2 linked regions of the Macaca mulatta genome follow. The protein of the gene in region 1 interacts with the protein of each later gene in a biochemical or structural test. Links are inferred from orthologs where the notes say so. Each region holds a gene or a part of one and is shown on either strand. Other genes may lie near its edges.

Region 1 (15,101 bases):
CATAGCTTTATTCAGAAGATTTCAAATAATACTCCCAGGATTTCTGAAGGTGCTATGGGTTACTGGTTAAAGCAGGGAGTCTGTAAGAGCAAATGAAGTTCGGATACCAGCTCTCCACTGCCAGCTATGACCTAATCCCTCAGTCTCCTGCCTCCTTGCCCAGCCAATGAGGGTTCATAAATATAAAATCAATAATTGTGATTTGAAATGTATAAGTGACATTTACCAATTGCTTAGCCGTTCAGAATGCCTCCGTTTGACAGCCTTAGTTAATGAAAGTTAGTTAATGAGGGAACTGATGAAAGGGATTGTTCTTGTTGTTTCAAAAATTGATCACTTTATTAAAAAAAAAATCTGTAAGCTGAATTTAAAGTCTTCAGAAAAACTAGACCTTAACATTTACAACTCCAATAAATTGAATATTAATCACAAAGCAAGCATGTATTCTTTTCTATATTCAGAAGTGCCCCCATCACCCCTAGATACTAAACATCTCAAATGACAGTGATAAGCAGGGACGTTTCCCAGAATATCCTGTGGCTCTACTCCAGTTGGTCCCAACACAGAATGGAAGAACGGGCCATTCTGGGTCATCTTTTTGGCCACTCTTCCTTTTTCAGGCAGTCCTCCAGAGTTAGGTTGCTCCAGTTGACACTTCAGCTTCCTTCTTGCCTGAAACTCACATTCCCCAGAACACTAGCATGTGACTGAGGCCTGCCTTCTACCTGAGGGACTTGCACCTTTAATCCAATGTGATATGATATAAACAGCAATGAAACAGTGAGGTGAGCATTTGATGGCAGCTGAGCCATCTCCCCTGATGCTACCACAGAGATCCTAAAAGAATGACTTCCTCAAGTTCAGTAAAGAGAAATCAGTGATTGCTAGAGAAAGAGATACCGGGGCCGGGCGCGGTGGCTCACGCCTGTAATCCCGACACTGTGGGAGGCCGAGACGGGCGGATCACGAGGTCAGGGAATCGAGACCATCCTGGCTAACACGGTGAAACCCCGTCTCTACCAAAAGTACAAAAAATTACCCGGGCGAGGTGGCGGGCGCCTGTAGTCACAGCTACTGGGGAGGCTGAGGCAGGAGAATGGTGTGAACCTGGGAGACAGAGCCGAGATCCCGCCACTGCACTCCAGCCTGGGCAACAGAGCGAGACTCCGTCTCAAAAAATAAAAAAAATAATAATAAAAAAAGAAAGATATTGGAATATGTTTAGACTAGTTAGATTAGGTAATAGCCATGAATATATTAAACCTGAAGATAATTTTCTGTTTCAAATGAGGTTTTTAAATGAAAACATTCGGAAAAGTTTGATTAATAATTTACATATAAATTATATGTAATGATTCTTGTAGACACTTCAGCAAACACATCTGTGCTCTAATAATTTATACATGCCCCACAGGACACCAAGACCAAATGGAAAATGACATATACATTTTATTTCTTATGTCTGGTTGGATTCGTTCTTCCTGTCCAAGGAAGAAGATGTGCAGAGTAAGAAATAACTGAGCAGGCCTTTCTAATGGTGTCCTGGCTTTGCAAGTGAAGAGAACACGGTAGCCTCTTCAGAAACAGGCCTGAAAAGAGAAAACACAACGCTGTCACACAGAATTGGGTTAAGAACCATAAATGAAAGTGACACTGTACTCTTCAAAATCTTTTATCTGAGTACGTTCTTGTGTGATGTAAAGGGGCGGGGGAAGGTCCTTCTTCATGCCAGGTGGTGCCCTGTAGGCTCTTCAATGGGTGTTATCCTGTAGGCAGGCAGTGAAAGACTCCAGCAATTTTAAGTGGGGGAGTCACACGTTTAAATTTGTTGTCCAGGCAGCCCATTTCCCCCAAGACCGTGGAGAAACAGGCAATCTCATTCATGGCTAGTGGGAGGTCATATCAGACTAGGTTCTGTAGCAGGGTGATTTATCTATTTTTACAAAATTACTTGCACATAAACCTGGATGCCACAAATCTCACTTCTGGCAATTACCTCCACAGATAAAAGTGCAAAAGTGCAAAATGACAGTTGCTACATGCTTAACTGTAGCATTGATCATAAGAACAAAAAAATTGGAAACAATGTAAATGCCCATCCATAAGTCATCTGTTAAATAAAAGATGATTCATCTACAGGGGAATATTGTGCAGCTGTAAAAAAAGATTGAGGATATTTTCTATGTTTTGAAATAGAAAGATCTTTGAAATAGACCGGGCGCGGTGACTCATGCCTGTAATCCCAGCACTTTGGAAGGCCAAGGCGGGCAGATCACCTGAGGTCGGGAGTTGGAGACCAGCCTGACCAACATGGAGAAACCCCGTCTCTGCTAAAAATACATAATTAGCCAGGCATGGTGGCACATGCCTGTAATTCCAGCTACTAGGGAGGCTGAAGCAGGAGAGTTGCTTGAACCTGGGAGGCGGAGGTTGCAGTGAGTCAAGATCTCCCACTATGCTCCAGTCTGGGTGGCAGATTAAGAGACTCTGTCCCCCGCCTTCCCCCCATCCCCCAAAAAACTATACTTGCATCAAAATTTCTGGAAGAATATGTACAAAAATATAAAATTGAAATTGTCACCTAAGGGGGAGTTAAACACTTTTCACTGAATTCTGCTTTATTATTTAATGTTCTTTAATTTTTATTTTAAAGATGAGGGTCTGGCTAGGTAGTTGGCCAGGTTGGTCCTGAACTCTTGGCCTCAAGCAACCTTCCCACCTCGGCCTCCTAAAAGTGCAGGGATTACAGGTATGAGCCACCACGCTCAGCCGAAATTATTTTTATTTTATTTTTTTTTAATGAAATACCGCCCTGTCCGCCAGGCTGGAGTGCAGTGGCGCTATCTCGGCTCACTGCAACCTCTGCCTCCTGGGTTTAAGTTATTCTCCTGCCTCAGAATCCCGAGTAGCTGAGATTACAGGCGTCCACCAAAACGCCTGTTTGTATTTATTATTATTATTATTATTATTATTATTATTATTATTTTTGGGGACAGAGTCTTGCTCTGTCGCCCAGGCTGGAGTGCAGTGACGCGATCTCGTCTCACTGCAACCTCCCCCTCCCGAGTAGCTGGGATTACAGGTGCGCGCCACCACGCCCAGCTAATTTTTGTATTTTTAGTAGAGACGGGATTTCACCATGTTGGCCAGGCTAGTCTCCAACTCCTGACTTCAGGTGATCCGCCCGCCTCGGCCTCCCAGAGTGCTGAGATTACAGCCGTGACCGGTCGAAAGATTTTTTTTTGTTGTGTTGTGTTGTATTTTGTTTTGTTTTGTTTTGTTTGTTTGTTTGTTTGTTTGAGACGGAGTCTCGCTCTGTGGCCCAGGCTGGAGTGCAGTGGCCGGATCTCAGCTCACTGCAAGCTCCGCCTCCCGGGTTCCCGCCATTCTCCTGCCTCAGCCTCCCGAGTAGCTGGGACCACAGGCGCCGCCACCTCGCCCGGCTAGTTTTTTTGTATTTTTGGTAGAGACGAGGTTTCACCGTGTTAGCCAGGATGGTCTCGATCTGCTGACCTCGTGATCCGTCACTCCTCTGCCTCCCAAAGTGCTGGGATTACAGGCCTGAGCCACCGCGCCCGGCCGAAAGATGTTTTTTAAAGCTCATTTTGTGGTGCATGTAGCCTCTGTGGAAAATGGTATACCACTTCCTTAAAAACATAGAGATGCCATATGACCCAGTAATTTCACTTTGTGACGTGTACTCTAAAAAAATAGAAAACCTGAACTCAAACAGATATTCGTACACCCATGTTCATAGCTGCATTATCCACAGTAGCCAAAAGGAGGAAGGAAGCAAGTGTACATTGGCAGATGAATGGATCATGTGGTATATACGTGCAGGGGAATGCTAATCAGCTTTGAAAGGAAGGAAATTTTGACACATGCTACATAAGGATCAATCTTGAAGACATTAAATGAAATAAGACAATTAAAAAAAGAAATATTGTACGATTCATCTTACATGACGTATCTAGAGGAGTCAAATTCATAGACACAAAGTAGAATGGTGGTTGTCAGCGGTTGTGGGCAGAGGGGAATGGAGAGTTAGTGTTGGATGGGTTCAGAGTTTCATCTGGGAAACATGAAAAAGGAGATTGATGCACAACGATTTAAACGTATTTAATGCTACAGAACTGTACAGTTAAAAAGTGGTAAATTTTGTTGGGCATATTTTACCACAGTTTGAAACCCTAATTGTACTGCTAGATAATGGGTAATGAACATGCAGCGCCTACAAGAGTATTTCACACACAGAAGTGAAAGGCTTCAGAGCAGATTATTTTCCTAAGGGTTGGTCGGCTTATAATGTTTTACAGGTATGGCCAGTAATCGTAGATTTAGGAGTAAAACGACCAACTACGCCCAACGTGGGGCTCGAACCCACGACCCTGAGATTAAGAGTCTCATGCTCTACCGACTGAGCTAGCCGGGCGTCCGGTAACTCCGCCTAAAGAATTTTTCATTCTAGATTACATTGGGACCATATTCAACTGTGGGTTTGAACTTGGATTTGTTTGGAGTGTGATAAAACTACTGAAGAGCCTCGGCTCCCGGGAAATTCAAACTCTGCCGTTCCTGCCTGACTGTCCCTCCCACTTACGTCCGTTTTCTGCCCCTTCTACCCTACCAGCGATCAAGCCATTTTCTACCCGCGATGAAGCTCACGGCAAGGAGATGGAAAAACGTGCATCCTGACGCCACTGGAGCTCTCACCGTGTGGATTTTTTTTTTTTTTTTCCCTTTTTTTACAGAGTCCTGCTCTGTCGCCCAGGTTGCAGTGCCGTATCGGAATCTCGGCTCACTGCAACCTCCGCCTCCTGGATTCAAGCAATTCTCCTGCCAAAGGCTCCTGAGTAGCTGGGATTACAGGCGCCTGCCACCACGCCCGGCTACGTAGAGACCGGGTTTCGCCTTGTTGGTCAGGCTGATCTCAAACTGCTGACCTAGTGATTCACCCGCCTCGGCCTCCTAAAGTGCCGGGATTACAGGAATGAGCCACCGCACCCGGTAAAGTACCGTGTGGATTTTTAAAGACAATTAATGGGGCCCAGAGGAGGGCAGGGGCCGCCGCGGTCTTTCTCCACCCCGCAGACTCTACCTTCTGGGTTTTTCCTGGCGCTCTGCGAACACGCTGGATTTCAAAATTTGAAAGGAAAATCGAGAATAAAAATTGGATGTGCAAAAGAACACTGGAGATGCCGGGGATCGAACCCGGGGCCTCATACATGCAAAGCAAGCGCTCTACCACTGAGCTACATCCCCGTCCACGTTTTGAGGCTCTCCCAGATTGCCCCTAGTCGTCGCTTAGCTCAGGGCATCGGGAGCGGATGACAACTGGTGTGCGCTGGGTCTCAGCTGCTGCAAAAACCCGGGATCGCAGGGCCGAGAGTTGTTCCAGGGTCCTCCGCTGACTCCAGACCAGCGGGTCTTGACCAAGAGATTCCAAGAGAGAGGATTAGGCCCGGCTAAGCACCTGGGAGCAGCGGTGGAAAAAGGAGAGAAAATCATCAGGCACGATGCCAAAACTGAACTGTGACCTGAAAAAGAAAAGAAGGGAAAATTGTGCAGGATGCTACGTTTTGTTTTTTAAAACAGGGGGTCGAGGCGATAAAATACGGAATATTTGATTAATGTAATCCAGAATTGTAAAGTTGATTGCTCGGGATGAAGAAAGAACTGGGACACAGGTGAAGGGCCTACTTTTCACCGTGAACTGCGGCTCATCTTTCGAATTCTGAACCACGTTTAATCCGAGAAAACTTTACTGAGCTTGCCAAGAACTGCTCTAAAAACAGGATTCAGCCGTGAACAAACCGGGTACAGTCCGTCTTAAAGCTGACATTCCAGAGGAGATGGAGAGCGGGCACAGAGCCAGCCCGGAGAGGGGAGCGCGCTGAGAGACCACTTTACACAGCGTGCGCGTTCGGGGCGGGCTTCGTGGGCAGAGACGTTTGAAGCAAGACCTGAATGAGGTGGGAAGGAGCATGCAGGTGGTCGGAGAAAAGAGGTCCACGCAAGGGGAACAGCCAGCGCAGAGGCCACGCAGTTCAGGAACAGCAGGAAGGGTCGGGGACACAGCCCTGAGAAGGGAAGTCGGGAAGGGGGGAGGTGAGGCGAGGTCTTCGCCTTTGGGTGAGAATTGCTGGAGTTCCCGGTAACACTGGCAAGCCAGTTTCTGAGGAGGGTGCGGGCGAAAGCCTGATCCAAGCGACCTCCAGAGTGAACAAGGAGAGAGGGTGTGGAAGCGGGTAACACAGGCAGTTCTGCAGAGGGGCTGTGGAGACAGCTGGGGGACAAGAGAGCGCTGAGGTTTGTATGTGGGGGGGTGAAATAATACTGAATAAAATGGGAAAGTATATATGTATTATCTGTTCAAATATTAAGTAAAGAGTAAAGAAGGGAGAGGACGGTCGCAGAAAAGGTAATGGAGTGGATACAAGGCCATGCTTGAGGGTGAGGGGACAGGGCCAGGTTCCAGTCTCTAAATTTAGCTCAGTTCAGGGCCGGGGCGAACCTGCGCTAGGGGAACCTGACACCGTGGCCCGAGCGCCAGGCCCTTGCTCCGAGATGCTGGGTCGGCCTCGGTCGGAAACCGGGAGTGGCTCCCGGCAGGGTTTGTGCGCCCACCTGTCGCGGCCCGTTTCCCGCGGCTGACTGGGTCAGGCTGGGGCGGCCTGGAGAGGCTGAGCGACTGGGGCGACGGGGAGAGGCCGCTGGCCAAGGCGGGGGCTGGTGGAGCGCAGGTCCGGGGCGCGGGGCGCTGTCCCGCGCTTGAATGGCCCAGTGTCTTCGGGCCTGTAGTCAACGTGCGCCTCCCCTCCCGGCTCCCAGCCGGGCGCGCCCTGGGCTCAAGTCTCTGCCTGCCCAGTGGCAGCCCCGCCCTTCCTCTCCCAGTGGGCACTCGGCGGCCAGCTCGGACGTCGGGCTCCGACCCGCGTCCTGTGAGGTCCAGCGGCCGCCCAGGCGCTACCAGATCTGAGAGCGCGGAGAGCGCGCATGGCGGCTGTGGGGCCGCGGACCGGCTCCGGCACCGGGGCCGAGGCTCTAGCGCTGGCGGCAGAGCTGCAGGGCGAGGCGACGTGCTCCATCTGCCTAGAGCTTTTTCGTGAGCCGGTGTCCGTCGAGTGCGGCCACAGCTTCTGCCGCGCCTGCATAGGGCGCTGCTGGGAGCGCCCGGGCGCGGGGATTGTTGGGGCGGTGACCCGCGCGCCGCCCTTCCCACTGCCCTGCCCGCAGTGCCGCGAGCCCGCGCGCCCCAGTCAGCTGCGGCCCAACCGGCAGCTGGCCGCCGTGGCCACGCTCCTTCGGCGCTTCAGCCTGCCCGCGGCCGCCCCGGGAGAGCACGGGTCCCAGGCGCCCTCGGCCGGGGCAGCGGCTGCCCGGTGCGGTCAGCATGGCGAACCATTCAAGCTCTACTGCCAGGACGACGGACGCGCCATCTGCGTGGTGTGCGACCGCGCCCGCGAGCACCGCGAGCACGCCGTGCTGCCGCTGGACGAGGCGGTGCAGGACGCCAAGGTGAGCGCAGCCCGCACCCACCCCTGTGGGTCCCCGGGACCCCCTGCCCTGGTCCCGCGCTCCCGCGCACGCGGTGCAGAGAACAGACTGTCGATCAGGAGGCCCGGGTGAGCCCTCCCTTCTTTCTCCTATTCCAGGAAGCCCAGCACGGGTCCCCCGGCTGAGCGCGGTTCTCTGTCACCCCGAACATCACCAATACCCCCACCCCACCCCCACTGCGTTTCCCTCTGGGCCAGACACTGGGCTGCCTGCGCGACGTCCCCCGCGGACTTGGCGATGTTTTTCCTGTCTGTTCAGAGCCTCTAGCCTGGTCTGCGTCTCCGCAGCTCTGCGCCCGCGGGACGTCTCCGGCACAGCCAGGCAGCCGCTGCCCCCACTCTTATCTCTTTCCCTGAAGCGGGCTCTGCTCAAAGTCCCCACCTCGTGGAACTGAGTGGGAGGACCTCGCCAAGAGGTCCAGGGAGGGGGCTCCTGGGTCAAGCAGCACCGAGAGCCGTCTGACTGTGCCAAGGCTGTCGATTCTGAGCGCCCTTTCTTTGCTATTTTCTCGCTGAGCCTCAGCGAGGGTGTGTGCAGGGGTGAGGGCGGGGCGGGGAGGCTCGGGCGGCAGTCACCAGTTTCTCCTTGCTCACCTATCCTGCTCCAACTCTCCCACCCACAGGGCTTCCTGATGGTGGGGCGGAGAGCAGAGGAGACGACTAGGGGTAGGGCTGCTGGAGGCTTGTGTTTCAGTCTGGCTGGTCCAGCAGATGCTTTTGGGGACGCAAGATCCCGAGACCTTCAGAGTCCCCTCGCAGTGTAACCTGCAACCTGTAGACAGACTTCTACCCGGCCTCCCCCTCAGTGAGCAGGGCCTTCCCTTTCTCCTGGCTGGCTCCAGGAGGCAGAGGTGGGGGTTTCCAGAATCCCCTCCCCCCCACCTCACATTGTTTCCCTTCACCTACAGGAGCTCTTGGAGTCCAGGCTGAGGGTCTTGAAGAAGGAACTGGAGGACTATGAGGTGTCCCGGTCCACGGAAGAGAAGGAGAGCAAGGAGCTCCTGGTGAGCCAGGCACCCCCTGGCACCCCGTGGGAGATTATAGAGGCCTACGCAGCACCAGGGCTCAGTGTGTGTGGTGTTGGAGTGTGTGCTATGGAACCGCAGAATAGATTTCAGAAAAATAAAAGAGTGCATGTTACATAGGGTGACCATATAATTACTGTAAAAGCAGAGCTTTTTAAAGTGAAAAGGTGTGCTAAAAATAATTATTGCAAAACAACTGGCTTAAACTGGAACTGTCCCAGCGAATCAGGACATACAGTCACTCTGATATTACATAACATACCAGTTAGGGCCTGTGGAAGCATCTTGTAATTGAACACATTAATATTTCTGCAGAGAAACATGAATATTCCATAAATGGGACTCTTAATACGATAAAGAACCTCATGGGATGTTTTATCAACAAAAGAGGAGTGAAAAAATTTTCATTTTCTGAGTTTTTTTATTTGAAATTGAGGCTAAGGGAGAAGGGGCTGGAGGGTGTCAGCCGCTTCATGGCTCCGGCACAGTGAGGCAGTTTGGGGTCTTGAGTTGACAGTAGCCCCTGCTGCACAGCCCAGGGTCTTGCATACTGGCATCTGCCTCTACCCCAAGTTGGAATGATATTTTATCTTCCTTAGAGTAGAACAGGAAAGTGAAATGGGGACTAATTTTGGTTAAGATAAGCAAACATGAATCACCATCGGTCATTTTCTACCTTGCAAATTCAGTTCCTAGCTCAGTAAATAAGTGTTGAAAGAAGGAAAGGATTGGCTGAGTGCCACGGCTCACCGCCTGTAATCCCAGCACTTTGGGAGGCCCAGGCGGACGGATCACCTGAGGTTGGGAGTTCCAGACCAGCCTGACCAACATGGAGAAACCCCCATCGCCACTAAAAATACAAAATTAGCCGGGTGTGGTGGCGCATTGCCTGTAATCCCAGCTACTCGGGAGGGTGAGGCAGAAGAATAGCTTGAACCTGGGAGGTAGAGGTTGCAGTGAGCCAAGATCACGCCACTGTACTCCAGCCTGGGCAACAAGAGTGAAAATCCATCAAAAAAAAAAAAAAAAAAAAGAATGAAATAGGGCCTGTCAAAGCAGGGAATTGGAGGAAGGTGAACTAGAGGACCCTCCCATCCTCAATGTCAGGAGGGGTGGAGGAGGAGCCTGGAGTTCAGACACCCTAGGGTCCTTTCCAGACCCTCAACTATATCTGTGGTGCCTGCATCCAGCGTGCATCCCAGACCTTCCCACCCAATCACTCACTTCCCTCCATGATGAAGAGCTCACCCTCCAGACCTTCATCCCTCCTCCGCTGGAGAAACAACTTCCAGCGCAGCTCTTCCGCCACTGGCTGACATCCAGGAACCAGAGGGCCTTCCCAGGCACCGGTGGCAGCTTCATGGTCTCTGACCGGAGTCCCCAGGCCTTGCTTAACACCTTCCACCTCTGTCCGCTCCCAACATCCATCCATCACCCCCACATTCATTTTTGTTGTTGTTTTGTTTTGCTTTTACACAGAGTCTCGCTTTGTCACTAAGGCTGGAGTAGTTCAAGCGACCCCCCCACTTCAGCCTCCTGAGTAGCTGGGACTACAGGTGTGCACCACTCCACCTGGCTAATTTTTAATTTATTTTTTGTAGAGCTGGGGTTGGGGGTAGTCTCCTATGTTGCCCAGGCTGGTCTGGAACTCGTGGGCTCAAGCAACCTCCTCCCCTAACTTCGCCCCCCTCAGCCTCCCAAAGTGCTGAGATTACAGGTGCGAGCTCCACCTCTTCTTTACAGTGAGAAAATACTTCTGTGATTTACGATGCTCGTATCATTTAAATACCCTGCTTAATGAAACATCAGAGGTAGAGTCCAACTATTGCTGCAACATAAAAGGGAGAAGGAATACTCTTATTTGAAAATACTCCTACCCCAGGGGACATCTGGCAAAGTCTGGAGATACTATATTTCTGGTTGTCAACAATGGGATACGGATGCTATTGGCATTTAGTGGTAGAGGCCAGAGGGGCTGCTAAACATCCTACCAGGCACAGGACAGCCCCCCCACAACCAAGGAGTATCTGGCCCAGAATGTCACCTGCGTTAAGGTTGGGAAACCCTGGTGTAGAGTGTTTTGGCAAATACTGTTTCACTTATGTTATTTCCTTGTGAGGCAATATGATGTAGCTGCCAGAAGCTCAGACTCTGCGTTCTGGCTCCCTGGCCTAGAAGCCTGGCTTACCACTTCCCGGTGATGTGTCTGCCTTTGTCTCCTCACCTGAAAGACTTGGGGGGAAGTGCACCCACCTCACTGGGCTGCCGTCAGGGTTGAGGGAGTTAATACCTATAAGGCTCTCCGGGCTACTGCAGCCTGCCTGGAAGCTGAAGGAAAGGTGGGGGCATTGTGCGACACCTGAACCCAGGTCTCCCAGCTTCCCGGGACTTCCTTCCTCCGCCCAGGAGTTTTAAGGAAGAGAAACTTCCTGGTGGGACACACTGAGTACCACACGTGTGTTCCCACAAAAAATCAAGAGATCAGGGCATGAGTCTGCATCTGAAAACTCGAGTAAAAAATCTTGTGTATGCTGTTAACGGAAAGAATAGAATATCAAGCTTGCACACAGCATATTCTCACTTAGTTCCTTGGGGGTGAGCTGCTACCTCTGGTCACTGGCATCGGACTTTTCTTCCTTCTTTCTACTTTCCTACATCTCCCAAGTTTTGTATTTTGAGCATGTGTTACCATTATAACTGCTAAACAGGGAAGATGGCCTTTAAAAACAAAGTGAAGAGTAAAAGTTTGAGGGTGATGAAATTAACGTGCTTAAGGAGGAAAAGGCAATCTCAGTTTAATCCTATGGTTGCCCCAGGAGGCACTAATTTATCCCTTCTACTTTTCAAGTGAGGAAACTGCCACTTGGTGTAGTTCTGGGGGGAGTATGATGCTGCCTTGGTTTAGGTGGTGGAGCACAGGTCCACAGACACGCGTGGGCACATCTGTGGCAAGGGAGAAAAGAGCACGTGTTGAGACTACAGCTTGTTCGGAGCTGGGACATTGAAAATAGAGCATGCACTGCCTGCATAGGTGGGTGTGTCTCTGATCCCCCAGCAGTGACAGGGATGAAGCCTTGCCCTATGGGATGACTCAGGCCACTGGCCAAATGTTATGTCTCCATGCTCAAGTCCCCTACCTCTCCAATTCTCCTCCTGGGACAGAAGCAGATGGCAGCGGAGCAGGAGAAGGTGGGGGCAGAGTTCCAGGCGCTGAGGGCCTTCCTAGTGGAGCAGGAGGGCCGGCTGCTAAGCCGCCTGGAGGAACTGTCCCGGGAGGTGGCACAGAAGCAGAATGAGAACCTGGCCCAGCTCGGTGCTGAGATCACCCAGCTGTCCAAGCTCAGCAGCCAGATCCAGGAGACAGCTCAAAAGCCTGACCTTGACTTTCTCCAGGTAAGTCTGGCTTAGCCAGAGGCTCAAGTCATTTGTCCGAAAGCATCAGGACCGGCAGCTAGAGGACAGTATCAGTCCTGGGGGTTCAGGAGAATCACACGATCTGGAGCTGAAGGGGACTGGAGGGAAGTGCCCTGATTTTCCTGGGGTTGGAGGTCTAGAGGGATGTGATTAACACTTTCTTGACTATGAGCCACAATAATATATATCGTATTTCAGAATCGCATGCTTGAGACAAAAGTCTCAGAAGATAATACTCACCTTTGCTACACGTATGCACTTTGATGTTTTCTATTCTATTTCACTAAAAAAAAAAGTTATAAACCACTAGATAAACTTCACAATCCACAGACGGGTTAATAACAGTCACTACTGGGCTGAGTGAGCAGGAGGTGCATAAGGGCTGTGACCTCCTCAGGTGGTTTCCAGGACACAGGCAGCACTGGGTCCCATGGGATAGCTCCAGTGATGATTCTGTAATAAAGAAAGCAGCAAAGATAGAAAGAAAGCATTTGAAGAGCTGTGGCAAAGTGTGAGAGGTCCACCACGTGGATGAGACACCCTGCAGCCAGCAGCCACTGCAAGTTGCTGTCACCTAAGTCCATGCAGGCAGTGAGGCATGGCACACCTGCTTACCACTTACATCTTGGAGGCACAGCGAGGGGCAAGCTTTGTTCCTCAGAGGTGAATGGAGGTTACCTGATGCTGATTTGGTTTCCTCTATCTTTCCTTCCAGGAATTCAAAAGCACGCTGAGCAGGTGAGTGACCTCACAGCTCCTGGAGCCTCTCTAAGTTGCCTCTTCTCTTTTCACTGAGCCTTCTCTTTATTTCCTGTCCCCTGGCCTCTCACCTCCTGATCCCCCGATTTGCTTGCCGGGGACCTTCTGAGACGAATGCCCACCTGCCTGGCCATGGGTTTTCCTGCACGAGGTCCGGCTGTCCCTCTTCTACCTCTTCCTGCCAAGACGACCTCGCCATCCTAATTGTCACAGCCTGTGGGAGTAAAACTGTGCAGACAGGCCCTTCTCAGAGCCCTTGTCCTGCAGGTGTAGCAATGTGCCTGGCCCCAAGCCAACCACAGTCTCTTCTGAGATGAAGAATAAAGTCTGGAATGTTTCTCTCAAGACCTTTGTCTTAAAAGGGATGCTGAAGAAGTTCAAAGGTAGGGGCCTGGGCGCTGAGCTGGCTGTGCCATGGCCAGATTGGTGTAGAGGCTGTGGTGGCAAATCTAGTCAGGTCCCTGCAGGGCATGCAGCTTCTCATGGGGACAGATGGGGTAGAGGGGTCCTGCTGGGGGACTGGGGGTAGGAAGAGGGATATGCAGGGGAGCTGAGCTCAGAGCCACTCAGGTAGAACTAGAATGCTTGGGTATGGGCCCCCTGCCCCCGGCTCCCCATGCTTGGCCTTAGGAGTCTCTGGGGAATGAATGAGTCAGCTGGGCTATAAAGAGCTGGTGACCTTGCCATGTAATCTCCCATATCGCTCATGCATGCCTTGCTTTGTTTCTCCTCCTCAGAGGACCTTCGGGGAGAGCTGGAGAAAGAGGAGAAAGGTAGGGATGGTGCTGTGATGGCCACATGGAGAACCTACTCCCTGCTGGTGACCATCTCAGGGTTTTGCATATGGTTGGTGCCTTCCACCCACCCACCTCAGCAACCCTGTTCCTCTGTCCCCTCCCTCATGCCACCCCCTCCCCATCCTGGGAGCTCCGACACCCTCAGATGGCAGTGGGGCCTGTTGGCCCAAACGCTGCAGGTCGGTTAGGAGCAGGAATGCCCTGTACCTGGAGATACTCAGACTGGGAAAGGCTTCTCGGCCACCTGGGTGAACCTCTCCCCAGTCCCCACTCCAAGACGGACGGAAACCTCTCCTGGGGATGGGGTGCATACAGGGGACCAGGAAAGCAAGGGGAAGCTAAAGACTGGAAGGAATATTGTTTTTACTCTTGCAGAGCTCTAGAGTGTGTGGGATCCAACACCCAGGGGAGGGAGGGGAGGGGAGGGCACATATTCCTGATGCTGATGTCCGAGCTAAATCAGAGTGTGCCTGGGTGCCACCTAAACCACCTGAATGAGACCAGACCTTCCTCTGCTCAGAGCCCTGCCACAGCCCCTCTGACCTGTTAAAGGTCAGAGTCCTCATGGTGGTCTCAAGGGCCCAAGGGATCTGGCCTCACTCACACCCCTTCTACTCCATGCAGCTACACATCCTCTTTGCTGTTCCTTCAGTGTACCAAGCACACACCCATCCCAGTGCCTTTGCACTGCCAGGCTCCCCCACCCCAGCCCCCTACCTGGAACATGCTTTCCCCAGCCAGTCGCGTGGCCCACTTCTTTGCCTTCTTTATATCTGTCTGCTCAATGCCCCTTTGCAGTGAGGGTCTTCCCTGGCCACTCTGGTTGAAGTTACAGCCTGCTCTTCTGGTTCCTCTCGTCTTCTGTGTTTATAATCTATCCTTAATCCCCCCGCTGTGGGAAGGAAGCTGCAGGCAGGCAAGACTATCTGATACTCTGTGGTATCCCCAGGGCCTGGAACGTAGCAGTGCTCACAGTAAACGTACATATTTTAAGTTTTTATTTTTGGAGACAAGGTATCGCTTTGTTGCCCAGGGTGGAGTGCAGTGGAACTGCAGCCTCGACCGTCCAAGCTCAAGCGATCCTCTGTCCTCAGCGTCCTCGAGTAGCAGGGACTACAGGAGCACACCACCATGCCTGGCTAAATGTTCTGTGATTTGTGGAGACGGGTATCTCACTGTATTGCCCAGGCTGGTCTCCAACACCTGGGCTCAAGCTATCTTCCCACCTCTGCTTCCCAAAGTGCCAGGATTACAAGCATGGGCCTCTATACCTGGCCTTAACTTTCTATTATGAAAAATTTCTAACATACTCAAAAGTAGAGAGAAGAGTGTAAAGAAGGTGACATACCCATCTCTCACCTTCAGCAGTGGTCAATTAGTGGCCACAGTTTTCATAGACACTGCTATCCACTTCTTATGGGATTATTTCATTTTCTGAGACAGGGTCTTGCTCTGGAGTGAGATCCTGGAGTACAGTGGCCTGATCGCTGCCCACTGCAACCTCTGCCTCCTGGGTTCAAGCGATTCTCATGCTTCAGCCTTCCAAACAG
Region 2 (14,964 bases), on another chromosome or scaffold:
CATTATGGTTTTAATTATGATTCTCCAGTTACTAAAGAGTTTAAGCATCTCCTTATATTTTGCTGTTGTCAACCTCATGAAATAATAGCTACTCAATTAGGTAATGTAGATGGTAAAATGGCCCCAAACATTTTTATCTCCTCTCTTTGGCCACAGGATCCTGAAACTGAAAACGACCTTTGGGTCCCAACTATCCACAGCTTTCCCACAAAGCTCTGAAAATAAGAGTTGAGAAAAAAGTATTGAAGTACTGGACAAATACATCAATGTCTTGAGAATGTGTCCCCTACCTTCCAGCAAACAAACTGTTGCTTCTCTATGCAGTGCCTGGCCTCAGTTTCCTTCCACATGTCACCCACTCCCCACATCCTCTTGACCAGAGAGATCTGGCTGCGGCAAAGCCACAGGGACACAAGTGGCTCCTCAGAGCTTGCATGGTCAAGGGTTGAGTAAGGGTGTCTGTTTCAAGCCATTTCTACAAAACACCCTGTGGGAGCAGACCTGAAGGATTGGGGGAACCGCCATGCAGATATCGGGGAGAAACATTCCCTGGAGATCAGAGGCCGAGGCAGGGCCCACCTGGCCTGCTGAAGAGAGGCCATCGTGCTGGGTCTGCTGGGAGCAGGGGGCACAGTGGTGACCAGAGAGAGAAACAGCTGGGGGTGGATTATGTAGCGCCCCCCAGGCCACTGGTAAGCTTTCCCTGAAGGAATCTGAGTTGCTGCAGGGCCTTGAGTATACCGGAGGCAGGCTCTTGCTTAGTTTTATTGTTTTAATAAATTTTATTGTGTATATTTAAGGTATGCAACGTGATGTTACAAAGTACAAACAGATAGCAAAATGGTTACTACTACAGGGGAGCAATTAACTTTCCCATCACCTCCCAGAGTCAACCATTTTTAGAATTTTGTGGCAAGAGTAGCTGAAGTCTAGTCATTTAGCAGGAACTCCCAAAACAGTGCAATTTTATTACCTACAGTCCTCCTGTTGTACATCAGATCACCAGACTGGTTCATCCTACATATTTTAAGGTAGAAACCCATCTACCTGCGGGGCTGAGAATGCACTGTTGGAGCAGGGGTAGGAGATGAGGTTTCCAGGTCTCCTGGGCAGTAGAGGACAGTGCCAGTGGGCCACGGTGGGGGACTGGCGGGGAGCAGTTAAGAGGAGGTCAAGGTCTGTGGCTACAGGAAAAGCCTGCAGGATTCCTTTGCAGACCTACTGTGGACTGTTAGAGAAGACGACTCAGAGACAGCTCTGAGATGTCTGTCTGAGGACTGCAGGGATTGGGCCCCTGGGTGAGTCTGGGATGAAGGCGTGGTTGGACCTGGAAGAGGGTTTGGAAGAGAGACCCACGTCGGAGAGGCAAGTGTGAGGTCACCATGGGGGTCTGGGTAAGACAGAGAGGCCACACGAGGATGCCAAGAGTCCATCCACATGAAGAGGGTGGAGTGGAGAGGACACAAGGGAGATGGAGGATTATCAGCAAGGCCAGAGGAAGCCCTTGTGGAGGGAATGTCCCTACACAAAAATCCATTCAAAACAGACAAGGGCTTAATTGTAAGGCCTGAAACTGTAAAGCCAGCAGAAGAAAACACAGGTGAAAAACCCCATGACACTGGCCTAGGCTTTAGGGTCATATCACTTCTTGCATGTGACCCTAAAAGCACAAGCAACAAAAGAAAAATAAACAGGATTGCATAGAGCTAAAATGCTTCTGCACAGCAAAGGAAATCATCAACAGAGTGAAGACAACTCACAAATCAGGAGAGAATATTTGCAAACCATACATTAGGTAGGGGGTTAATATCCAAAATATACATGGAACTCAAACTCAATAGCAGGAAAGCAAATAAACAACTAAAAAATGGACAAAGAACCTGAAGAGACATTTCTCAAAAGAAGACACACCAATGGCCAACAGGTATACGAAAAAATGCTCAACATCATTAATCATCAGGGAAATGCAAAGCAAATCAAAATGAGATTATCTCACACTTCTTAGAATGACTAATTTCAAGGACAACAAATGTTGGCGAGGATGTAAATTATTATAGCCATTATGGAGAAACATATGGAGGTTATTCAAAAACTTAAAAATTTGAGTACTGTGACCCAGCAATCCTACTGCTAAGTATTTTCCAAAAGGAAATGACATAAATATGTGGAAGAGATACCCACACTGTGTTTCTTACAGCACTTTTACAACAACCAAGATAGGCAATCAACCTACGTGGTCTAGCAGCAAAGTGGATAAAGGGATACAGTGGAAAAATTGATTAAGAAAATGTGGTATATACACACAATGGAATACTATTTAGCCATAATAAAGGAAACCCTGCTATTTGCAACATGGGTGAATCTAGAGGACATTATTAAAGTGAAATAAGCCAAGACAAATATCGCATGATCTCACTTATATGTGGAATCAAAATGTTGATTTATAGAAATAGAACAGTAGTTAGCAGGGGCTGAGACAAGAGGATTTGGGGAAATTCTAGTCAAAGGGTACAGAGTTCCCGTTATACAAGAATAAACTCAAGGTCTATTGCACAGCATGGTGACTTCAGCTGATAACCGTGTACTGTACACAGTCAGCCCTCGTATCTGAGTGTCCCACATACGTGCAGAGGGAGGGCTGACTGCAGGGGACTTGAGCATCTGCGGATTTTGGTATCCAGGAAGGGGTCCTGGAACCAATGCCCCTTGGACACAGAGGGATGACTATGACTGTATTTGAAATTGCTGAGTGTAGATTTCAAATGTTCTCACCACAAAAAAAAAACATGAGATGGATACATGAATCTGCTTGATTCTGTCACTCCACAATGTACAGATATCAAAACATCACACTGTGCCCCATAAGTATATAATTTTTTCAAATAGAAACAGGTTGTGATTGACAGGGTGGGATGTTGCTGGTCAGCTAGATTAGGTGAGGATGGTGAAGCCACTGTTGGACCTGGTGATGTGGAGACACTTTGATGTTGCGGGAGACTCTGTCCCATCAGGACCTGGCCAGCCATGCATCACAGGTGTGCAGCGCAGGGGCAAGGACACTTGGGGACGACAGCAGACTGCAGCAGGTAGAGACAGTGAGAAAGACAAACTGGAGGTCTCAGGATCGGGATGTTGTTGGCGTGCTGACAAAGATTATCTACTTGGCCAGGCTCTGGAATCTTCTCCTAGGGTCCTCTGTGCCCTTTCTTATGAAATCCAGTTTTAGCAAGAACCCTAATTTGGTTTAACCATAATATCTGACCACCCTCAATGGTACCTGACTGGGTTCCTATCAGACCGTTTGCAACCAATGTCTGATCACCCTGCCTGCCTGCAGCAAGGACTCTGTGAGGTGGGTTTAGCCAGACCCCCCTCAGCCCTGATGTCTCCTCACAGTCATTCCCACCAATGGACCCCACACTGCTCCTCGGCTTCTCCAACCCCTGCCCTACTGTGTCGGGGTGGAGCCCCATCTCCCCTGAGGCCCCAAGGAAAGGGCTCCACACCCATCTCCATGGTCCCAATGAAAGATCTCCTCACCATGCTTTAGCAAGTGTCACGAGGAATTTTCCTTTCACACTGGAGGGTGGCCAGAGCAGGGGGAAGAGGTGGACATACGGAGACGAAGCAAACAAGCTGACACAAACTCACTTTATTCAACATTGAACCAGCCCACACGCTGGGTAGGTCAAACTCACAGACATCGCACCAAAGGCCGGGGACTCGGAAAGGCTGAAAGGCTTCATCTGGAAATAGGCACTGCTCACAAGCCCAGCTATACCCAAATCTCAACATCTGCCTGCATCTATGTCCCAGACTTTGCAATCCTGTCCCCAGTGCTGAGTTTCTGTCGACTAGACGAATTTATCTACACACAAGGATGCTGCAGGCAACTGAGCTACTGCTACGAGCTTTGCAAAATTCAACTACTAAAGGAAATGGGAAGAGAGAAAGAGCCAGAGAGAACAGCAAGATGAGACACCATGGCAGGGCCTGGAGATGCTAAATGGGGTTAGCCACCTGCCAGCCCCCTCGCCCAGGAAAAAGGAGAAAGAGAGTTCCTTCTACGGAGGCAGGTGGAGCACAGGGAGGGCTTCTGGGAGACACAGAGGCAGGGTGGGGGCCAGGAAGGGGGAGGTGGACAGAGCGACGCGGATAAGGCTGGGCGGGGCCCAAGCCCACCTCAAGAGGAGGGCTGCCTCCTCAGGAGGCATCAAGGTGCAATCCAGTCTTCCTTTCTCTTCCCTGAAGACCTGAGTTCCAGCCTTCACAGAGCCTCATGTGCGTTCTTCTTTCTAGATGTTAACCCCAAATTCGACACTCAATGGTGCACCTCAGGTACCTGCCAAGGATCTGTGGGCCCGCATGGAAGGTGCAGGGTCTGGGTCCGTGGATGACAAGGTGAGGGGCAGATAGGTGACAGAGGAAGGGCATGGCCCAGAGCTGCTGGGACTTATGGAAGATGGGCTGTGGCCAGGACTTCAGGAAGGGTCGGGCACAGGTCGGAAGGGTCCTCAGGTCCAGCCTCTACCGGGAGGTGTTTGTAGCCCCCAAAACACTCACGCCTCAGGGTGAAGGATAAAGGGACATTCTTGAAACACACAACTATATAGACGGACCCAAGGCCGGGCGCCTTCCACGCTTCCCTGACAGCCACACGCTGACACTTCCCAAGGAGATGAGGATCCATCCCCTCCTGCCTCCAACTCTGGGACTGCCGCCGGTTGGCGCCATCACTGCATGGGAAGGTAGAGGGAAAGACAGAGACACAAAACAACAGAGAAAGAGACACACAGAGGCAGAGACAAAGACAAAAGGAGAGAGTGAGAGAGAGCAAGAGAGAGTGCACATGAGACAGTGCATGAGGTACTGTCCTGAGCACAACCAACCCAGGGCCTAGCCCAGACTTCTGTCTCCCCAAGGCCAAAGCCTTGTCACCTATGGCTGGCACAGGCAATTGAACCATTCAAGGCCATCTGGGTTGCTGCGGGCTCTGGGGTTCAGGCCAGGCCCTGGGCAGAGGCAGAAGAAAAGCCCTGAGGCTGAGTTTCTTGCCTGCTTCTGCCTTCAGAACCCTAGGGCGGGGCAGAAGCCTCAGGCACTTGGGATACCAAGTGTCCTCCCTTGTGAAGGTCAGGGACACCTCAGACCCTTCTCAACTTAAAACCCCTTCCTATCACCTTCCTTGACCACCCACCCATTCCCAAAATCAGCCCTGCAAGGCCACGGCAGTGGGAGTCAGGCTGGGCTTTTAAGCCTTGACCTCGGGCAATGGCCCCCCAGTGGCTCGCTGCTGCCTACGTCCACCCTGGCCTGATGGTGGACAGACCCAGTGGGGATCCCACACCTGCAGCAGCATGCTGAGGCCCAGGTTCCGGTGCTTCTTCTCCAGCTCCGACACCGCCTGCAGCAGTGACCTGAACCGCTCAGTGGGGTCAGCCAGCTCGTCCTCAGGTAGCCCCTCCTCCTTCTCAGCCTCCTGCAGGAAGTGCTCCTCCTCCTCCACAAAGAAGGCCCGCAGCTTCTTGTAGTCAGTCAGTGCCTTCTTCCTACGGTCCATCACGTGTCCCTGCAGACAGGTGGCAGGAAAAGACCTGTGTCCTCGCCCACTCTCCCCAGGCGAAGGGGAACCTGTTCCCTCTTGAAGGAGTTAAGAACATGCCACTCTAAAACATGCTGCTCAGGCACGAGTGTGGTGTGGTTCACGCTTGTAATCCCAGCACTTTGGGAGGCCGAGGTGGGTGGATCACTTGAGGTCAGGAGTTCAAGACCAGCCTGGCCAACATGGTGAAACCCCATCTCCACTAAAAATACAAGATTAGCCAGGCGTGGTGGCACATGCCTGTAGTCGCAGTTACTCAGAAGGCTGAGGCAGGAGAACCACTTGAACCAAGGAGGCAGAGGATGCAGTGAGGCAAGATGGCACCACAGCACTCCAGCCTGGGCAACAAGAGCAAGACTCCATCTCAAAAAAAAAAAAAAAAAAAACTTATGTTTTTTCTCCCACTAATCTATCTTCCTTTTTTTTGAGATAGGGTCTCACTCTGTCACCCAGGCTGGAGTGCAGTGGTGCCATCATAGCTTACTGCAGCCTCAACCTCTTGGGCTTAAGTATCCTCCCACCTCAGCCTCCCAAGTAGCTGGGACCACAGATGCACCACCACACCTGGCTAATTTCTTAATTTTTGTACAGATGGGGGTCTCACTATGTTACCCAGGCTGGTCTCGAACTCCTACCCTCAAGCAATCCTCCTACCTCAGCCTCCCAAGTTGCTGGGATTACAGGCATGAACCACTGCACCTGGCCCTGTTAGTTTAGCTTATGTCAGTTTAATTCTCCGGCCCAGCCTGGGACCCTAAAAGGGGAGAAGTAGAGTTCTTTCTCCCTGACACTGCAGTGGTCAGCTGCACATGAAGACAGTTCCTCTCCCGTCTCCCATGGCCAAGGGGACAGTAAATCCTTGAGTGGCCCTGCTAGGTCTAGAGCCTGTCAGGCACGTTACTGTCAAGGCAGGACACACACCCATCTTGCCAGAAACTGTCCCTGCTGTGCCCACACCAGAACTCCAACAGCTGAAAACCATCCCATCAGCCTTCAACAAACAGCGTTCACACTTGCCACTCTTCAGCTGGTTTCCAGCCAACCCCTAACCTTGGAAACAGGAGAGCAGAGGAGGATGCTACTGTGATTTTACTCAGAGTCATGGATGGCTTCCACCTGGCCCTGGGCCACACAGGGCAGGTGACAGCCATAGTCATGAGAAGCCAAGGCTTTTGTTGCTGAGAGAGAATGCAAATGACAGCTGGGTGTCTGCTGGTTGGCTGATGCGGCACACTGCAAACTCCTTCCTTTGAATTTAGGTGGCTTCTCTCATCCCAGCATCTAAGCCACCAACCCCCAAAACAGGACAGATTGAAAACTCCAACCTAAAACCTGTGGGCAAAACAAGTCCCTTGGGGGTAACACAAGTTATTGAAAACTTGGAGGTCCCCAAAGCCTTCCAGCCTCACTTGCACTGGGCAGTGTTGACCACTCACAAGGCAAGGAGAAGTTCAGAGCAGCCCCCAAGGGCAGTGTGGAGTGCCAGGGGTCCGACTGGCATCAGGGACTCTGTGTGTCACCTGTCACTGAGTGAGGCCTGCACCTCAGGCCTGTGGAGAGTAGGCAAGGGCTCAGCACCACCGGGAACACAGAGAGTCTACCTCAGCCTCAAGCTGGGGTAAAAATGCGGGCCTCAGCCTCGAGGTGCAGCCAGTTACCCAAGAGCTGCTGCACCTTTGAAAATCACTCTGTCTTTCAGGTTAAAAGGAGGAAGTAGGAATTTATGAAACCCAGAGAAAATGGCACACAGATTTTTTACTACACATGAGGAAAAAGTCACCAAAGAGAGTTTAAACGACTGAAGAGCTTTACTTGTGAGTAACCTCAAAGAATCTAGTGGGATGTCCCTTTGCCCTTTGGGATGTAATGCTGTGGAAGGCACCCAAGGAAAGTAACACTGCTGTGGTCTGAATGTCTGTGGCCTCCCCAAATCCCCATGCTGAAATCCTCATCCCTAAGGTGATGGTGTTAGGAGGCAGGACCTTTGGGAGGTAATGAGGTTGTAAGGGTGGAACTCTCAAGAATGGAATCAGTGTCCTTAAAGGACCCCAGAGACACCCTTACTTCTTCCATGTGAGGACACAGTGAGAAGGCACCATCTATGAACCAGGAAGCGTTCTCAACAGACACAGAATGTGCCAGTTCCTTGATCCTGGATTTCTAGCCTTTAAAAAAAAAATGAGCAACTCTCAGATCAGAACAAGAGGACCACAGAAAGTTACAGATGTGTTTTAAAAGAAAAAAAAAATTAGCACTTTGGGAGGCCAAGGCAGGAGAATCGCTTGAGGCCAGGAGTTCAAGACCAGCCTGGGCAACACAGCAAGACCCCCATCTCTACAAAAGCATTCTAAAATTAGCCAGGTGTGGTAGCACATGCCTATAGTCCCAGAGGCTGAGGTGGGAGGATCGCCTGAGGCCAGTTCGAGCTGCAGTGAGCTACAAGCAGACCACTGCACTTCAGCCAAATGAGACTGTCTCTTGGAAAAAAAAAAAAAAAAAAAAAGAGTAAGTCTGATGCTGCCATCACCTACAGGTGAAATGTGAGGCGAAAAAGAGGCTTCCACTGACTTTGGTTAGATTCTATTTGAAAAATACAAACACATCCTAGAAAAATACCCTGAAACTCACTAAAGTCCAGAGGCCCCTCCTCCAACCAACCAGCTGAGCAGTTCAGAGGCCTGGCCTGCTTGGCCTGGTGGTCCCTTTGTCTAGAGCCCTGAGTCCCCGGTCCCCTCATTCCAGGCTGCCTCCAGGCCCCCCACTTGCCTTCCACACTGCAGCTGCTGACTCCGCCTGGCCATGCAGGTCCCGGGCGTCATTCAAGTCCTTTCTCATGATTTCCACAGACCCCTTGTTCTCCTGGAAAGAGAGGAAGGTCACCAGGGGTGGGCAGAAGGTCTCCCCCAACCTAGCCCAGTTCTGAGGGACATCACCCCAGCTGAATGCACACAGTCTGACCATTCCAGAGATAATCTCGAAGCCCTGTTGTCTAGGACAGGAACACACAGGCAGCCAAAAGGTTTCTTGGGCTTCACACCTATTCAGAAGGATCTGGGTGCTGGGGCTAAGGGGACTGTCTAGGTGGGTTTAGGAGTTGTGTGTCTGTAAGTGGCCCTGTTCAGTGTGAGTTCGGTCTGTACCACAGGTCTGCACAGCCTGCCCTACACCCTGCCCTGCCTGAGCCCGATGGGGGTCACTCTGCCTGGTGGCAAGAGCCCTCAATGCAGGAGGAGCGCCCAGAGGCACAGTCTGGCTGGCTTCCCCTCCCCTGTATTCAAGAGCGGGACCCCAGGCTGGCTGTTCTCTCCTACTCTGTATCCCCCAAACAACCCGCCATGGGAAAGGCTCCAGACTCCCAGACCCGTCGCTGCCAGACTCCCAGAGCGGGTCTCTGAAAGACGGGAGAGGGGACAGGCGGTGCAAGTGAGGGCTGGGTGGCCCGGAGAGCAGACAAGAAGGCGGGCCAGGCCTGTGGACATAGTGGAATACAGAGGGTCGAGAGGTGTGATGTCTTCCCCAAGGGAACAGTGAGTGGGGGAGTCAATCTGTGGGAACTAGAGGGGGGTCTATGAGTGTGAGGCAGGGCACAGCTAGTGGTGGGGACCACAAAGATGGACGCTGGTGGGGGAAGGACTTCGTAGAAGGTAGGGGGTGGGGAGATAAAGCACCGCCCAGCAGGGGACACCAAGATGGGGACGCGGACCAGACTCGGAAGAGACGCAGAAAACGTGGGGAGGCAAGCTGCAAGAAGGAGGGGCCCAGCACACGCTGGAGCGGGGACCCGTGGCGGTAAAGGGAGGGGGACAATCCGGGGACAGGGACAGTGGAAATGGGAAGGGCCCAGGGCTCAGGGGGACCGGGGCAGGGGCGGAGAGGCGCAGGGCACCGCCCGGGGCGGGGCACGGGACCCCGCCGCGCGCACCTTGCCGCGCAGCGCCTTCCTCCAGCGCGGCTCCCACTCGGGCGGCTCGGGGCCTGCAGCCATGCGGCAGGCGGCGCAGAGCGGGCCGGCGTCAGCGCGGCACAGCAGCTGCAGCGCGGCCTCGCTGGCCGGGCCGTCGCGCGCGGGCGCCGCGGCCGCCTCCTCGAGCGCCAGAAGGCGGCGGCTGAGCGGGGGCCGGCCGGGCTCCACTGCGCGCTGCCAGCAGTCGTCGGCGCACTCGGGGCACGGGAAGGGCCCGTCCTCCTCGGCCCAGAAGCGCACCACGCACGCCCGACAGAAGCGGTGGCCGCAGTCGGCGCGCACCGGCTCCCGGGGCGCGCGCTGGCACAGGGCGCAGGCGGCCTCGGCGGGGCCCGCAGGGAGCGCCAGGGCTGCGGACGGCGCGGTCGGCAAGGGTGCGGGAGCGTCTGGGGAGGGCCGGAGACCAAGGCGACCGGCGACCGGACGGAGACCAGCACCAGGAAGACGACGCCAACGCCGGCGACGCGCACGGGGCGGGGATCGGACCGCGGAACGCTCAGCCGACGAGATCCTGGCAGCGGTGTGCTGCAAACTGAGGTCCCGGCCCCGCTGCCCTCCACAGACAAGATCCTGGCAGCAGTGTACTGCATCCGTAATAAGTCCGGGCCGTGGTGGGCTCCTCCGCCCGGATCCTAGCGGCGGTGCACTCTTTCGCCTTGGTTTTGGCAACTATGCTCTCCACCTGCAAGGTCCTAGCAGCGTTGCACGTCACCCCGTAAGCCCTGGCAGCTGCGCGCTTCACTCTCCTGCCTGCGGACCGGCCCAAGTCGTATCCTGAAATGTTACTGGGACTGTCCCTTCCTACATCAATAACTCCTGTAGAAGAAGGCAACAAAAGTTTTATTTTTACTTGAAGGTTCCATTTTTAAAAGGTTGTTCTTGTAAGCTGCTAAGATCTGAGCTGCGCGTTTCCCCGCGGTAGCTCGCCAGCGTGGGCTGAGGACGGGGCGCGAAATGGCCTGCGTGGGCCTCCTTCGCTGCTCTCATGCTACACGGACCCGCCCTGCGTGGGCACTCCCTGCGTGCAAGGGCCTGCCCGCGTGGACGTGCCCTGCGTTCACCCAACCTTCAGGGATCTGCCCTTGAACGGGCCCTTCGGACGTGGACACTCGTATACGCCCACCCTGCGTGGGATTTCGCTGCGTGGACCCATCCCACGGAGCCTCTTCTCGCGCGACCTCCCTTCTTGACCTCTGGGAAGCAACCCTGGTAGTCCGCTGTCTCCTGGCTGGCAGGAGCTCTCATTCATTCCGTGATGATGCATGACAAAACAGCATTTGTTAGCTTTTCTTTCTTTTTTTTTTTTTTTTTTTTTTTTTTTTTTGAGACAGAGCCTCGCTAGTGGCGCGTTCTCGGCTCACTGCAACCGCCGCCTCCCGGGTTCAAGCGATTCTCCTGCCTCAGCCTCCCAAGTAGCCGGGATTACAGGCGCCCGCCACCACGCCCGGCTAATTGTTGTATTTTTAGTAAAGAGGAGGGTTTCACCATATTGGCCAGGCTGGTCTCGAACTCCTGACCTCATAATCTGCCCACCTTGGCCTCCCAAAGTGCTGGGATTACAGGCGTGAGCCACTGCGCCCAGCCGTTAGCTTTTCTTTTTTTTTTTTGAGACTGAGTCTGGCTCTGTCGCCCAGGCTGGAGTGCAGTGGCCGGATCTCAGCTCACTGCAAGCTCCGCCTCCCGGGTTTACGCCATTCTCCTGCCTCAGCCTCCGGAGTAGCTGGGACCACAGGCGCCCGCCACCTCGCCCGGCTAGTTTTTTGTATTTTTTAGTAGAGATGGGGTTTCACCGTGTTAGCCAGGATGGTCTCGATCTCCTGACCTTGTGATCCGCCCATCTCGGCCTCCCAAAGTGCTGGGATTACAGGCTTGAGACACCGTGCCCGGCTAGCTTTTCTTTAAAAAATAAATTTAAAGGAAAGAAAGAAGCCTTTGGGAAGAGCAATTTTGTGTTTTTGTTTTTTAATTATTTTGAAAACAAGCAAGCATCAAAAAAAAAAAAAAAACTGCAAGTTTTGCATTTTAAAAAATCTGGACCGGGCGCCATGGCTCACGCCACTAATCCCAGCACTTTGGGAGACCGAGGCAAGCGGATCACAAGGTCAAGAGATCAAGACCTTCCTGGCTCATGGTGAAACCCCCTCTCTACTAAAAATACACAAATTAGCCAGGCGTGGTGGCGCGTTCCTGTAATCCCAGTTACTCTGGAGGCTGAGGCAGGAGAATCGCTTGAACCAGGGAGTCGGAGGTTACGATGAGCCAAGATAGTGCCACCGCACTCTAGCCTGGCAACAGAGCGAGACTCTGTCTTAAAAAAAAATTTTTTTTTAATCTGTATTCCAAACAAGCGCAGGATCTAATGAGGTATTTTTGTCTTTGTTAAGATTTTTTTAATCGACTTGGAAATGCACTAAATGCCCGTGGGAAATATGAATAGTAAGCCGAGGTTATTTCTGTGTAGTAAAGATTAGAAGGCTTCCAGCAGAGCCTTGCTGATTTGTGGAGTCAACTAGAAACTTGCTGGAGAGAAAAGTAAAAAAATATAAAAAATGAGCAAACTTCATAATGAACTAATCTTGCGAATGAGAAAATATCAAAAACGATAATTAGAGGCAAATTGCCAAATTAGGAACATTTTAGCCACAAATATACAAAGAGTTTAAAATTTGGTAAGGAAAAGCACAATGGAAAATGCACCTTGTCGTGGGATTTTTCAAATCGCAGAAAAAAAACGCACAAATGATTGAACACACATGAGAAAAAAATGTACACTCTGCCCAGTTAAGAAAGAGGAAAATAAAACGAGACTCTTTCCACTATTAAGTAAGCAGACAAAAAAAAAGCAACTTGGCCAGGAGCCGTGGCTCAGGCCTGTAACCACAGCACTTTGGGAGGAGGATGGATCATCTGAAGCTGGGTGTGGTGGCGCACGCCTGTAATCCCAGAACTTTGGGAAGCTGAGGCAGGCGGATCACAAGGTCAAGAGATCAAGACCATCCTGGCCAACATGGTGAAACCCCATCTCTACTAAAAATACAAAAATTAGTCAGGCGTGGTGGTGCATGCCTGTAGTACCAGCTACTTGAGTGAAGGGGTGGCCTGCCCCTCCACACCTGTGGGCGTTTCTCGTTAGGTGGAACGAGAGACTTGAGAAAAGAAATGAGACACAGAGACAAAGTATAGAGAAAGAAAAAGTGGGCCCAGGGGACTGGCGCTCAGCATACAGAGGACCCACGCTGACACCTGTCTCTGAGTTCCCTTGGTATTTATTGATAATTATCTTTACCATCTTAGAAAAAGAGAAGTGGCAGGATAATAGGATCATCCTAGGGAGAAGGTCAGCAGTAAGATATATGAATAAAGATCTCTGTGACATAAGTTTAAGGAAAAGTGCTGTGCCTTGTTATGCATATACAAACATCTCCATAAACCTTTTTAGTGCATAAAGAGCAGCATTGCGCTAGCAAGTCCCTCCTTCAGCCCTAAGGCGGTTTTCTCCTTTCTCAGTAAACAGAACACACAATCGGGTTTTACACCGAGATGTTCCATTGCCCAGGGACAGGCAGGAGACAGATGCTTTTCTCTAGCTCAACTGCCAAGAGGCCTTCTTTCCTCTTATACTAGTCATCTTCAGCACAGACCCTTCATGGGTGTCACGCCAGGGGACGATCAGGTCTTTCCCTTCCCACAAGGTCGTATTTCAGACTATCACATGGGGAGAAACTTTGGACAATACCTAGCTTTCATAGGCAGAGGTCCCTGCGACCTTTGGCAGTGTCACTGGGTAGTTGAGATTAAGACAATGGTGATGAAGGGAGAGAAGGAGGAAGGAAGGAAGAATGGGAAAAGAGAGAAAGAAGAAAGGAAGGGAAGGAAGGAAGGAGAAAAAAAAGAAAGAGAACGGAAGGGAGGGAGAGAGGAAGGGAGAGGAAGAGAGAAGAAATGAGGATATGTATATCATATCACTATTCATTTTGGAGGGAAAAACAAAACCTTGAAGGTCCAATACTGGGGGCATGGCTTAGTAAATGGTAGCAGCCATGAACTTGCACACATGTGCATTAGAGACTTTTGAAAGTAGACATTGGCAAAGATTGTTGCCTGAAAGCCTCTCTTCCTTACCACTAGCAGAATCCACATTGTGTGGTGCTAAGGGAGGAGCACCTTTGTTTTGTGGTGTGCGTGTGGTGTGAGCGTGGTGTTTTGTCTAGAGGAAACATGGGTGAGGCACAAAGTAAGCCCACCCCATTAAGGAACTATGTTGAAATTTTTCAAGAAAAGGATTTAAGGGAGACTACGGAGTACTATGACACCAGGAAAACTTAAAACTTTGTGTAAGGTAGACTGGCCAGCGTTAGAGGTAGGTTGGCCATTAGAAGGAATCATGGACAGGTCCCTTGTTTTATAGGTACGGCACAAGGTAACCTGTAAGCCAGGGAACGCAGACCAGCTTGTTTCAGATCCCCCGCCCCCAACACACGGTGGTTGAGAGAACAGAAGCATAAGCGGCTGGCAGAGGCAAGGAAAGACCAGCAGAGAGAGAGAAAGGAAAGAGACAGAGAGGAAAAGAGGCAGAGAGAGAGAGAGGAAGAGACAGACTAAGAGGGCGTCAAGGAGAGAGAGAAAGGAAATGTAGCAGGACAAGCGGCAGACAAAACTCCTCAGACACCGAGTTAAAGAAGGAAGGGGTTTATTTGGCCGGGGGCATTGGCAAGACTTCAGTCTCAAGAGCCGAGCTCCCTGAGCGAGCAATTCCTGTCCCTTTTAAGGGCTCACAACTCTAAGGGGGTGCATGTGAGAGGGTCGAGATTGATTGAGCAAGCAGGGGCTATGTTACTGGGGGATGCATGCACCAGTAATTGGATCGGAACAAAACAAGATAGGAATTTTCACAGTGTATTCCTATACAATGTCTGTAATCTATAGATAACAGAACCAGTTAGGTCAGGGGTCGATCTTTAACTACCAGGCCCAGGGTGCGGCGCCAGGCTGTCTGCTGTGGATTTCATTTCTGCCTTTCAGTTTTGACTTCTTCTTTCTTTGGAGGCCGAAATTGGGCAAAAGACAATATGAAGGGTGGTCTCCTCCCTTATTCCCCTCCTTTGAGACTCTCACTCATTTTATTAGTGGGAGTTCTTACTTTCATTTTCACTACCCATGTCTTCTTGCAAGACAGATCGATAATGATTTATATAGTACATTTGTGCTGAGGCATTTTGGTGAACTAAGGTAGCGATGAAGCTTTTTATCATTCGAAGAAGTAAAGGTATCAAACAAGGGAGCGGTAAGTAGGTTCCTATTACTATTATAACTCTTATTATAAGGGTTTTAAATCCTCCTAGCGCTGAGAGTCATTTTGTAAACATGGCCCCAGGATCATATCTATGCCATACTTGCA

Evidence for each region.
Region 2: the proteins of TRIM7 (region 1) and RNF187 interact in a test that uses a peptide from one of them, tested with the Homo sapiens proteins (2 studies listed by BioGRID, with this or other methods). The link is inferred for Macaca mulatta from reciprocal best matches to the Homo sapiens genes TRIM7 and RNF187.

Annotation. Positions count from the first base shown.
Region 1 is NC_133411.1:190,239,945-190,255,045, reverse strand, and holds the start of TRIM7 (E3 ubiquitin-protein ligase TRIM7), read left to right. Parts: upstream 1-5,295; 5' UTR 5,296-6,996; coding exon 6,997-7,518; intron 7,519-8,464; coding exon 8,465-8,560; intron 8,561-8,982; exon of another isoform or gene 8,983-11,743; coding exon 11,744-11,974; exon of another isoform or gene 11,975-12,448; intron 12,449-12,710; coding exon 12,711-12,733; intron 12,734-13,021; coding exon 13,022-13,137; intron 13,138-13,491; coding exon 13,492-13,527; intron 13,528-14,910; exon of another isoform or gene 14,911-15,101. UniProt on the Homo sapiens protein: E3 ubiquitin-protein ligase that have both tumor-promoting and tumor-suppressing activities and functions in several biological processes including innate immunity, regulation of ferroptosis as well as cell proliferation and migration.
Region 2 is NC_133406.1:86,249,284-86,264,247, reverse strand, and holds RNF187 (E3 ubiquitin-protein ligase RNF187), read right to left. Parts: upstream 10,022-14,964; 5' UTR 9,915-10,021; coding exon 9,525-9,914; intron 8,462-9,524; coding exon 8,369-8,461; intron 5,570-8,368; coding exon 5,348-5,569; intron 4,737-5,347; coding exon 4,734-4,736; 3' UTR 2,422-4,733; downstream 1-2,421.